Arabidopsis thaliana: one gene and its partner. The protein of the gene in region 1 interacts with the protein of each later gene in a pairwise test. Each region holds a gene or a part of one and is shown on either strand. Other genes may lie near its edges.

Evidence for each region.
Region 2: the proteins of AT3G13990 (region 1) and AT1G13730 interact in a two-hybrid assay, tested with the Arabidopsis thaliana proteins (one large-scale study listed by BioGRID).

What each region holds. Positions count from the first base shown.
Region 1 is NC_003074.8:4,624,866-4,632,519, forward strand, and holds AT3G13990 (dentin sialophosphoprotein, putative (DUF1296)), read right to left. Parts: upstream 5,749-7,654; 5' UTR 5,519-5,748; coding exon 5,341-5,518; intron 4,972-5,340; coding exon 4,928-4,971; intron 4,554-4,927; coding exon 4,382-4,553; intron 4,043-4,381; coding exon 3,910-4,042; intron 3,504-3,909; coding exon 2,977-3,503; intron 2,776-2,976; coding exon 2,436-2,775; intron 2,339-2,435; coding exon 2,077-2,338; intron 1,997-2,076; coding exon 1,901-1,996; intron 1,735-1,900; coding exon 1,273-1,734; intron 1,176-1,272; coding exon 843-1,175; 3' UTR 518-842; downstream 1-517. Other genes in the region: ATBRXL2 (DZC (Disease resistance/zinc finger/chromosome condensation-like region) domain containing protein), read right to left, coding at 6,305-6,383, 6,467-6,858, 6,956-7,091.
Region 2 is NC_003070.9:4,708,041-4,713,201, reverse strand, and holds AT1G13730 (Nuclear transport factor 2 (NTF2) family protein with RNA binding (RRM-RBD-RNP motifs) domain-containing protein), read right to left. Parts: upstream 3,446-5,161; 5' UTR 3,117-3,445; intron 2,986-3,116; exon of another isoform or gene 2,796-2,985; intron 2,690-2,795; 5' UTR 2,684-2,689; coding exon 2,504-2,683; intron 2,402-2,503; coding exon 1,919-2,401; intron 1,835-1,918; coding exon 1,678-1,834; intron 1,585-1,677; coding exon 1,463-1,584; intron 1,377-1,462; coding exon 1,311-1,376; intron 1,225-1,310; coding exon 1,164-1,224; intron 1,088-1,163; coding exon 870-1,087; 3' UTR 530-869; downstream 1-529.

The DNA of each region.
Region 1 (7,654 bases):
AGAGTAATCATTTCTCAATAAGGTAGGACTTAGGAGGCCTATTAAATCAGAGAAGGAATCAAAGTCCGTACCAATTAGGCTCTAAGTAAACTCTAGTTGGCTCCTTGATTAAGACCCACCTCCCCAAACTAAGTATATTTACTTTTCTAAATATGTCAACAAAACGATCAATTAGATTCTTTTGTTATGATGACACAGTGTGCTATGACACCTAAAAACTAAAGTAATCAAGGAGATAATCAAAACCTATAGGCCTGAGCTTCAACTAGTTCTCCGATTAAGAATATTTGTAATCTATTCTAAAGGCTAGAGGAAAGTTAGGTCAAGCTCAACAACTAATGATTCTCTATCAAGAATTTAATAAGGAATATGAGGAAATGGAGAGAGAAGACACATAACTCAAAGAAGAACATTGAACAGCTAAACAAAACACACAATTCTCTTTAATACTTGTAGAACATTGACAATGGGAAACACTAGCACCAAGCAACAATGTTTCACTCACAGGGTTCCACACTTAAAAACCTTCACATGCATTGTAGGGTTCTTGAAGTCGACCGAAACTATAATAGCAGTAAATGATTAAGAAGCACGGACAGGACTTTACCTTGACAATTTGACGCCATGGGAGAATAACACCATACCTGCAGCTGTAAATAATGAGGGGCTATGGAAGCAGACAAAGCATTTATAGACAAATTGTTGAGAGCTGGGAACATTTTATGCATTGAATAAATAAAGATTAATTAAAACAGAGTTTGGCGTTTCATAAGGAGAATCAAAATATTTGCTTTTGGCTATTATATAATCCATTAGACAAGAAGACAAAGGTTAGATTTTCTTCAGAAGTTTGATGGCCAATTCGGATGACCAAGTTGTGATTGCTGATAGGTACCAATTTGAGACGGAGGAGGAGAGGGAACGACACCGACTCCAACATTACCACTGAGGCCAGGTCCCATGTGGTGCGGATTCGCCATCGTACCAGGCTGTGACGGGTGGAAGAGACCCTGGAACTGCATGTGAGATGATTGCGCAGTTGGGTTGAACGATTGGTGTGCTGTATGGGATGATAAATAAGCACCATGAGGCGATTGTCCAGCTACGTTGTAATATGGAGACTGAAGGCTTGAAAGATCTCTTGGATTTTGCATCCATATCTCAGAAGTCTCAGCCTGTAGTGTTAGATAAGGAGACATGAATCAGAATAAAAAATAATTGGTAAAAACATAAAGTTCGGGCACAACTACCATACTTATCAATTATCATTACCTGAGGATTTGGAACGTAAATATTTCCATGTTTATTTATCATGCGAGATGGATCTTCAAGTCCCGTAGCGTTTCCAACTACATTGGGAGGATTAGTTGGATACCCATTAGGATTGTTGTAAGTCCCAAAACCCGCAGGTCCACCAGTTGGAACTGGTTTATATTGCTGATGGATTCCATACTTGACACCATTTGAACCGAGATGAGAACCGCCTCCAGGCATCAGCACATAGCTATTGCCATTTGAAGGGTGTGCATATGCTGCTGGGTTACCTGAGTAGCCTGGCATGGGCATTTGGGGAACATAGACTGGGGAAAGGAATTGACGATAAGGCATGAGATTGGGAAAATGCGAAACATGGACCTGCGGATACATCTGTTGCATTGATGCCTGCTGTTGTTGCTGTAACATGGGAATAGTGGATGGTGGGGCATTATTTAACATGTGAGCACTTAATCCCTGCTGCATTATCAAAAGGATACTTGATCAGTTTTTCCTAGTTAATAAAACAAAAAAGATAACTATGACACATGCACAAACCAACTGCTCAAACAGGAGCTAACTAGACTCTTACGCATCAACTCATGCTGGCAAACTAGTAACAACTAACAACAGAAACATAAATTACCTCGTGTGGAGATGGTAATCCTTGAACTCGTACAGTTTCATCCATTGCAGGACTAAAGTACGGAAATTCATAACTACCATGATTGTCATAAGCCTGCTGGAAAGGAAGAGCATGTCATTTTTGAATGAATTTATCTTTCCTTGATTTTTAAGAGTTAAAATTGCAAGAACCCTTACAGAAAATTTTTGCAACTCCGGAGGATCTTGCTGCTGTTCAAACTCCAAAGGAGTATAAGGTGGACCATTCCTATTGAGTAATTCAATCCCCGAGTACGCATCCAAATTGTCAGATCTATGAGTTTCTTTCTGTTCGGGTAACTGTGGCTCAGATACTGCCGAGACGGGTGAGTCAGATCTAGAAACTCTGACATGATCATCAATAGTGATAGGCAGAACGCCCGGACCATCTGCTGAAGCCTCAGGACAAGTAACTGGCGAACTGTCAACAATATCACCAAGTTAATTGGGGAAGATGCATGTGATCTCAAACTATATTCAAATGTACAAAAAAAAACCCACCAACTGTCAGAACTTACCTACGATCAGATTCTCTAACTTCTTCTGAAGAGTGTGATTCTTCGAAAGCAGATTCTGAATTCCTTGAGGAATTAAACTCTTGAACAAAGCTACCAAAAGTTAGCTGACAGCGGTCAGTCTCCGGGACACGAATATGATCTGCGATGATGACATTCTGACTTTCACTTATATGAACATGTGAAAGCTTATTCTGCAACTTGACGGCTTCTGTTTCCACATTTATGGAATTATCAGCAGGACGACGAGCTTGAGACTTTGTAGGTGTTCCAATTACTCCAGGGTTATGTCCAACAGGTTTCTGATTAGATTTAGGCTTCCACTCCTTGTTCTGTGAGGCTCCTGCAATAAGTACAGGTTGATCAAGAATATCAGAAGTCATGACAGGAAATGGCTTCTCACCAGGAATTCCCAATAGATTGAAAGAAGGGATTATATTACTCAAAGCAGAAGCTACACAGAAAATAAAGTGTCGCCTAGCAGAAATCAAATAAGAAATTGCACAACATCCATTCGGTTAATAAATATTTGCATATAAGTTACCCTTTGTATGGCCACCAACTTGTTGTGTTCTAGCATATTGGCTTCCTCTATTCCCACGCTGTCTGTTCAAATATGACCTATTCTTTTCCACTCCACTGGGCATAACAGACTCACGTGCAGTAGTTCGACTGTGATCAATCTTTGAAGTTGGGGAAGATGGTCGATGTGCATTTGGAGGTCCATTTTTTCTAATAGAGGACCCTGAAAAAGAGGGCACAGATGGATCTTTACCAACATTTTCAGAAGGTTTTCCACCTAAACCTCCACCCCTTACTTCACGTTTAATAGCTCCCACGGGTGATGATCTAGAAACAGGAGAAGGTACATGAACTGGATCTTTGGAAGACGAATATACACCAAGAACTGAATTGGTTGATGGCAAAGTAACTCCACCGAGTTCTTTATTGACAGGACAATGCAAAGGACGAATTTCAGCCTGTCTGAGCCTGGCATCTGCTGGAGCATTACACTCGTCAGTTGAATCTTGAGCCCCAGAAGAGTTACGATTGCCCAAACCACCTCTTGAGCTGGCAAACAGTTAAAATAGAGCGAAAATTTTATTTTCTTATTTAAATTCAGCATAGTTTTCTTGAAATTATGAGACAAGAAGTCCTTGTTGGGCTAGCAAAGGAATGCCTACCAAGTGAACATACACACTCCTATCTCCGTCTACCAAAACCCAATGGCAGTATGGCACAAAACTAATCTATGCTTCTTATTGTCTTAAAGAGTTCATTGACAAAAAAAAAAAAAAAAAAAAAGAGTCCTACTTTACTATTTTTTGGAAAAGTACAGCTAAAGCAAATTAACTCCCTTAAAATATTTTTACAAGAGTAACAAATCATTCTATTTCACATGTATAAAAGAAGGCAAGTTAGTGATAAAAATGCTAGAATAAGAACAATAGGATAAATTACAACTGATGATACATACCCCAATTTGTTCACAGTGGCAACCACTTTGTTAATATTTGATCCAGAGGACTGGGCAGAAGAATGCTTCAACTCTTCATCAACATTTGGATTAGACCTGTTGTCCCTAACAACGCGAAACTCTTTGTTGGATCCTGCACTAACATGAAACGAACAAATTACAAACAGACAGAAAAACATTTCTAGGTGAATATGGTCAATACATTACATAAAACTTGAAGGCCTCACGCCAATGGCCAATAACAAAGATTAAAAAAAAAAAACAAATCAACGCAAAACAATTTCTTCTACGTTTCCTTTGCTTGCCTGCATATATTTTTCTGGATTTAACCAAGTTCATTTGATACTGCCGTTATATAGATTATGTTTACGAACCATTCAAAAGACAGCTTAAAACAAATTAAAGATTTTTAGTACAACTGTACAAGCATGCGAAAGAAACTGGCAAGTATATCATCATCAAATTGATTTACCAGTAGCAGGATTTCTAGGAGATGCATTTCGTTGAGCAGCGTTCCTGGGGAAGAAATTCCTACTGTAGCCTCCTCTCCGAACATTATGTTCAGGCTGTGTACGAACTTTCACTTCACTGGTAACATTTTCAAGAGGTTTCTTTATGTTGGCAGGCTCAACAAATACTGTATCCTGAAACCAAAGGAACGCCCTAAAAATCAGAGGTTATACAAGAGGTGTCTTGATGATCTCTACAAATTCATCAAACTATTTGAATGGCTAGAAAAGTTGAAATTTTTTTTGACGATCAATTAAATTAGAAGGCACACAAAATACTAAACAAAACAAAAAAAAAATATAGCTTGCCACAGCAGACATCCGATGAGATATAATAGTCACACAAGCACAACTAACATTATGAAAAATCTAGTCACCTTCTTCAAATGCAGTTTCGAAAAGACTAAGGAGAGTCAAACAAAAAAACTACAATGTGGTTGCATTGGCAAAAATGTTAAAAAGGAGAAGAACTGGGAACAAGATACCATAACAGTTATATGTAACCTCACCTCTTTTTTCCTGTCTCTTTTTCTCTTCACCTCGTGAAATGGATCTGAACAAAACAAAAGCTTTTTAGCGAACCAAAACTATGATGGCAACAATAACACACATATTAGTCACCCAACGAAACGAGAGCCAAGAAAAGAAGACCAATAATATTTCAAGTATATAGTAATTGAAGTATTCTGAAGAGAATTGACAAATTATCGAAATGAAAACAAGAGTTATCCATCTATCGAATTATCAACAGAACTCCATCAAACGAAATTTGCATAACCTATCTACAGCATTCTACATACGCCTCAAACAAGATGTTGTAGCATTCATCGTGATCAAGATAATGCGGACCAGAGAACAAACAGTAAAACCCTAACTTCCGTCAAACTAGGAAAGCAGAAAAAGAGATGAAGAGAGAAGAAACCTTGATGAATCAGCTTCTCCACAGCCTCGTTAGCATCCATGTTAGCTTCTTTTAAGGCAGTGTAAATATCAGCATCGGAGTGACTATCCACAACTTCCTTAATCGATTGAATCATCTTTTTCGCTTCATCATCGAGTCCTACCCCACGATTACCGCTAGTTCTGGACCCAGTCACCATTACGGATCAAAGACGTATCGAATAAACCGAAACACACAAAAAACAAAGAAATTCAAGGATCGAGTAGCGAAACCAAGTGAGATCAGCGTAATCAAGGTAGATGCTAATGATTCGACTCTTAAACCCTAAAATCGGATAGAGCAACTACTAGGGTTTCGAGTACAGAGAAGAGGGAACGGCTTTAAGAGAACAAAAAAAAAAAAGAAGTTAGGATTTATTCTCACGCGTCGAAAAAATTGGTTCCAAATTCACTAATTGGATAAACCTAATTGACTATTTTACCCTTAATATAACTCAATAGAAAGATTAGTCAAAGGAGAAGTGAGAAATGGAAATTTCTAAGGAGATACAAGTTAGCTGGCAATTTAACTGGTTTTTACTTTATACATTTCTTATTCAGAACATTTAAGTACATGCCATAATTATTAGCACCAATCATGGTCAATATAATTAGAGAAAAAGTAATAAAGTGCACAAAGTGTAATTTTCAAATCCAATAATATGAATTTTCTTAGTATTAAACTATATACAGTACATTACCTTAAGAAAATAACACCAAGAAAATCCAGTAAAACTAATACCTCCTCTTTATAGATAGATGTAGATGAGAAAGAAGAGAAAGAGATGTACTAACAACCACCAACTAAAAAGCACATTCATTATCTGAATCCCAAGTTATTTCCATCACTCTGTAGCTTTTTTCCAAGTAAAACATATAAAAGAAAAGTGTTTTGTTTTGGTGTGTGTCAGATTCTTCTCTAGAGAGCCTTCGACCGTCATCGGTCATCACAAGTATTGTTGTTGTATCCGAGCTCTGTTCTGCTCCCACCACAATCTTGCATTCGTTTCCCCAAACTTCTCTCGGCTACAACCACAAAGACAATGTTGTTAAAGTGCTTGCTTTTGAAAGGGTTTTACTAAGGAACAGAGAAAGTAATGTATCTTTACCTGAAGCGAACACGCCTAAGCTCGCGAGTCCCATCTGGTAAAGCTCTGATTGTGATGTAAACACCTGCTTCGTCCTGTTCCACCCATTCTGTTTCAATGTCACTTGCATTACTTACAGATAGCTCCTCCCCTGAATGATCTGCTTCTTCTTCTTCCCTTGAGAAGCTACTTCTTGCAGACTCATCAACAGATGATGTCTCGGTTTTTGTCCCACTTATGCTAGAGAGTTTTGGTGTTGTAGCAAGACCAGATGAATCATGGTGTCGACTTTGTGTTTGGGTTGTTGGTTGGTGAGCGAGTGAGCCAGAAGAAGCGTAGCCTTTTCCTCGAGAGCATTCTTTGTTCAGAGGTGGAGTTGCAGGACCATTCTTGGTAGACTGAATTCGCGAGCTCTGGTATACCAAATTAAAACTAGTTAGACCTCAAAGTATCAAAGACAGGTTTTGATGAGTAGATTCATGTGTTCAGAAGTGAAGAGGGTGCATATACCCCATCTTCAGATCTAGGAGGAGTTGGAAGTGGGACGCTCTGCTGATTGAACTGCTGTACATTGTATAATTCCATGACCTTGTCGAAATTCTCCGCCCACCACTTTTGAGCTTGCCATTTATCGAACATTTCACGGCTGCAAGTAATACAAATTTGAAGAAATCAACAAATTAGGAGCTGACTTAACCATATACAATACAGAACCAAAGAGCTACCAGGTTAACAGTCTTAGGTTCACAAAACTCAAGGGATCTGCAGTAAATTGTCAAAACTAGAATCTAGAAATATCAATCCTAGGGAGCTGAAGTGTTCCTCTTGCCATGAAGAAAGTTAGTTAGATCATCTTGCTCTCATTATATGTTCCACATACAAAAAGAACTTTACGAAATTCACAAACACTTCCCCACACAATTGTCCTTGGGGAATTCATTTAAGTTCTCCATCGGATTCAACTACCGAAATATAACCCACATCTCAAAGACCTTTCTTGGCAAAAAGGATGTACAAGTTCTCATAATTATAAGAAATGGTTTGGGACCACTTCAATCGATTCAAGAAAAATGAAAGCAGCAACAGTTTCCAACACAGAAATCTCACATAATAATATCCTAAATATCAACTGTACTCTCACATTGCTTGTCTCCAAGAACCACACATCTCTACTTCCAAAATCAAATTAAACAATTTCAAAACAGTATG
Region 2 (5,161 bases), on another chromosome or scaffold:
CGTGGGTTAGACCAAAGGACCCACGAAGCAAGCAAGTTGCTTGTGAAAAAGTGAAGGGAGAATAAAAACACTTCCATGTAAAAGTAATTGAATACTACTACTACACAAAGGCAATCATCAATAAACCATAGTATATAAACTAAAAGACTTAACAATGATAATATAAAGTAATTAACAAGGTAAAGTTTGATTATTGGCGACTAATCGTTTGATGGAGAAGAGTTTAGATTAGCATAATGAGCAATATAACTTAGTGAAAAAGTCTGATTATTATTGATTCAGTGACAGTTAGGTTTGAGAATGAAATCTATAAATCGAAAAGAAGATTTTTAGAATCCTTGGTGGGTCACTTTGTTGAGTCAAGTGGGGACGTCAAGATCTTTACACCATAAAAACCAAAAATGCTACGTGTTCGTCACCTGTTGGTTTGTGTAATAATGCAAACTTAGAGAATACTACAATACGTCGTCGTTTGAAGACCAACACCATTCACATCAAGCCCATAAGTTTAAGGGTTCGTTGCCCATTTGTTTTTTTCACTAGAAAATATTTTATTCGGTTTGGTCCTAAAAGATGTCTCAATCAATTGACAACGAACTTCCGATTAATTTTGGTTATGTGTAAACCGGACCAAATGAAGATGATTCAGAATGGAAGGTAAAAGTAATCATCAAATTTTTGTTATCCCAAACAAAATCTCAAAGAAGGGATTATCACCTAAGAGATAAACCTACTCCAAAAGAACTTCTAATCTCTCTCTCTCCCTCTCACTATCTCTTCCTATAAAACCTCAATTTCAAATGAACAACAATAACACAACAGAGTTTAACAAATGACTTCAAACTTGTTTAGCCTCTGGATTGAGTATTTTAACGGCTAGCTTCTACCGTACCGTTCTGATGAACTTTGCCATCACCATTGTGAGCCTCACCATTGCGTGATTCACCCCGTCTCTCAGATCCATTTCTTCCATAGCCTCGACCTCCATTGGAACCGTTGCCTCGAGGCCTATACCCATCGTTTCTGTAACCGTTGTCGTTCCTATAACCTCCGTTTCGCATTGCGGGTCTTCCATTATCGTTGTTGCCTGCAACGGAACCAATGGTTTCAGTTTTTCTACCCTGAAGTTGGAGACATTAGTACTAAACTTTACTTTGACTTACCTCGTTTCTCTTCTATTGAAACTCTTCGGTTTCCGATTCTGATGGCTGATTCTTTGTGAGCCTAGAGTTGTGTAGTAGAACATCAAAAGAAGAATCCAGTTTATAACCAAAAAGTTTGTAAGAAATATCGTTGATGTTGAAACATACCTGGAGGACCAATTTCACAGCTTCAGCAGATGCGAATGTCACAAAGCCAAAACAGTTTCCCTTGAGCTGCAAAAGAAAAACTTAATGAGGATTTCAAAAAAATTGGCTGTGAAACAAGTTTCTTCAAAAGATCCATTCAATAAACAACTCACCCTGTAACTTCTCACTTGGATACCATCTTTCGTAATAGCTCCAAAACCTTTGAATGTTTCATTTAGTTGCTCTGGTGTAGCGTCCATGAGCAAGTTGGCAACAAATATCGTATAACCCTCAGCTGATACACGAAAAATGGTAAAATCATATTAAGACATAGAAAAAGGTGAAAGAAAATCAGTTTTTCTGAAATGTTAAAACATTGATTTAAAACCTTGTTGGTCGATTGTTGCAGCAGAAGAGTGTTCAGAAACAGGAGCAGGAGCTTTGGATTCACGAGCAGCACTCGGCTTTGTAACAGGCTTAGACTTAGGCTTTGCAGGAGAAGCTTTGGCATTGAATGTAGCACCGTTTTGAGCCAAATCTTGGACCTAAGGGTAAGTTGCAAAATATTTAGATTATATGAGCAAAGATTAGGCTATAGAATAGGATTTCACACAAAAAAGAGGACTCACAATATGTGCAAATGATTTCTTGGGAGCATCAACACCATTGCTTTTATCGTTCACAACATTATCCTCCTGTGTTTTGGGATGTCCATTTGCTACAGCTCTTTCTGGTTTCTTCACTGTATTTTCGGTTGTCTGTTTCGCCTCGGGTTGTTGGGTAGGGATAGTAACCGGCTCTGCAACTTCATCTACCTGCTCTGTTGGTTGGACCACTTGAGGAATAACCTCCTCGACTTCTTTCTTGTTAGCTTCTGGTTCAACAATCTCATCAGCAACATACCTAAAGACATCGTTGAGAACGAAATAGCTTCCATTCAGCGGCACAAGGAAAAACGATTGAGAAAATCTCATTCTTTGCCCCTCTTTCACGGTTAGTAAACCTGTGACTAGAGTCACAACTCCATTCATGTAAGATGCTTGGGAATCAGCAGTCAAAATCTGAATCTTTGAGATTTCGTAATCGAAGGACATAATCTGCTCATTGATAGCCTGCAAAACAAGATTAAACAACTCTTAAAAACGAAACTTTGCTTCCAATAACAAGATTTACATATGTTTGAACACAAAAAGCAACTCCATCCAATAGCTTACTTTCAAGGATTTGACAGAAACCATCTCTCCATCAGAACCAGGACGGCCTAAAACACTATCGTCGAGATAAAACTGATGCACTTGCGATGGTGACTTATACAAGAGGTTGTAGTATTTCTCAACAAAAGAATTGCCAATAGTGTTTGGGTCCACCACTGGAGCATTTGATTCAAGTGCCATCTCTACCTAGATTCAAGAGATTATCACTAAGGTCAGATATATAATCAAACAAATGTCTCGAAATTAAAACATACTCATATGGATGAACCACAAGTAGTGATTTTAGTCTCACATTGCCATTCAAATCAACACTAAGGAATCCACAAATCTCATTAGATCTCTTATAGCTTTAACAAGAGATTTATTTGGTGACTTAAGCGACTTGCAAGTTGAGAATCTATAAATTGAATATACGTTAGAACTACATAGATCTCTATACAGCTACTAGATATTGGAAGAATGTGAAAAGATTAAGCTTTTACAGAGGATTCCAACAGAAAGGAAAAGACTTTTAAGACAGAACATGAAACCCAAATTGAAGAACTACAAATATCAATCAAACAATTGATAACAGTAAGAAAATTGGTGTATGAACTATGAACGAAAGCGATACCTTGGGAGAAGATGAGAAGAGAAGCAGAATCAAAAATCTCAGATCAGTTCGAAGAGAAGACAGAGTAAGACACAGGGAGAGGGAGGGATGAATATATTTGTATTATAATATATATAATGGTTAGTTCTAGGGTTTTACTTAGAAATCTCCGACGAGGAGAAATTGGGATTGTTGTAGCCTTGTATTGTAGGGCTTTCTTCAAGATTTTTACACTAAAATTATACTACTATTATTATTTATGGTAAGGAGGGAAGTTTTCCTTGAATTGTTTGTTTTTGATGATTATGTATATTGTTGAGTTATGGAAAGTTGTGGCTAAGAAGAATTGTATTCTAATTTCATAAAAAAGAAAGAGATATAAAAAAGAGTGAGTAAAAGAAGCCCCCGGCGAGGATCGAACTCGCGGCCTTTCGCTTACGAAGCGAACGCAATACCACTATGCTACGGAGGCCTTTTTGGAATGCTTGTTCAGTATAACATTATATAATAAAACAACAAATTATGACTTTTTATTTAAGGCTCATTGCAATAAAATATATACTTCATAAGACTCAAACTTGTGTATATTATTTAATCGTGAATTTGAGATCAAAATTTGTTATAGAATGATTTGTTTTGAAATAAAACAGATTAAGCCCCACAAAAAACATATTTTCTTCCTACGAAGCTTGATGTGCTGATTTAAGAGTTCCCCTATTATCGGCCCAATAAAGAACTAGTGGATATGCATGGTTCGAGGAACCCATGAATCGTTTTTTTTTTTTTTTAAATGTCTGCTTGCCCTCTGAGCCACCAAATACACAACTAAGCATAGATAACAAATTTGCTTACAAAAATCTTTAATTAAGAAGTTAGAGTGTATTATTTTATAAAAATGGAGCCAAAGCAATTAAGGTGAGATAAGTTTGAACAGTACATACTTCTACCATATATCAAGAAATGTTTCACGAAACTTTTCTGAGTATAATTTTATCTCTAAGATAAAGCTATATGATTATAAATCAAAATGTTAAGTTGAAAAATGTTTGAACAACGTATACGAAGTTGTATTATTTTGGTTTATTTTAATGTTATAGTCTAGATTTTTATTTCCTTAAATTTGTGTCTCCTTTTTATTTCTTGAAAATGTATGCTCATGCATGTTTTTGATTACTTGGAAAATGTAATTATATGTAAAGTCTTTTTTAACCTCACAGTTAATGGAAAGCATCAACCTTTGGATATAAAATATAAAAAAAGAAATTCTATGAAACAAAAAAAATATCATCAATCGACACATGCATGTGCATATATTTATAGATATTTTTTTTTTCGGTGCATATATTTATAGATCCATATCAATCTTGAGGGAAAAAAAAGATCCATATCCAAATCCAAATGGAATATCAGTGTGCAATTTTCGTTAGGAAAATATTTGATTTAATAAAAAAAGAAATTCCCAATCCATATCCTTAGCCATATACCAAACAAGGGGAAGAGTTGATGACAAGAGAATGAGATCACTCTAGTTATGTTTGAACCGAACTAGAAGTCTTTTTGCTAGTTGAGAGTGTAACTACATGAAGTCTAGTTGTTGAGACATTGACATGATTGGTCTCTCAATTTCCACTTCCTTTCTTATTTGTTCAAACATATCTATTCTTATGCTTTACTGTAAAAAATCTATTATAGACCTACAAACAAAACAGTTGTCTATAGTGAAAATACTCCTGATGTTATGTCTTTTTCAATAAAAAAAAATATATATATAACATGCTCTTTTAACTAAGTCTGTCAGAGTTCAGAGTTCCCAAAAGTCATAAATGTAGTTCTTTACATAAGTATTTAATTATTGGTCAAAGTCTATCAACTACTTCTATTAGTTTCAAAAACTTTATCAACTTTTTTTATTAGTTAAAATACACATAAATTAAATGTTTATTATTATTAATGCAATATTTCCTATTATAAATATCTAAAATGATAAAGATAAATCTAAGAAAACTAAAATATGATAATATATAATTTGAAATTATGTCTATTTATATTTGAATGATATTTATACA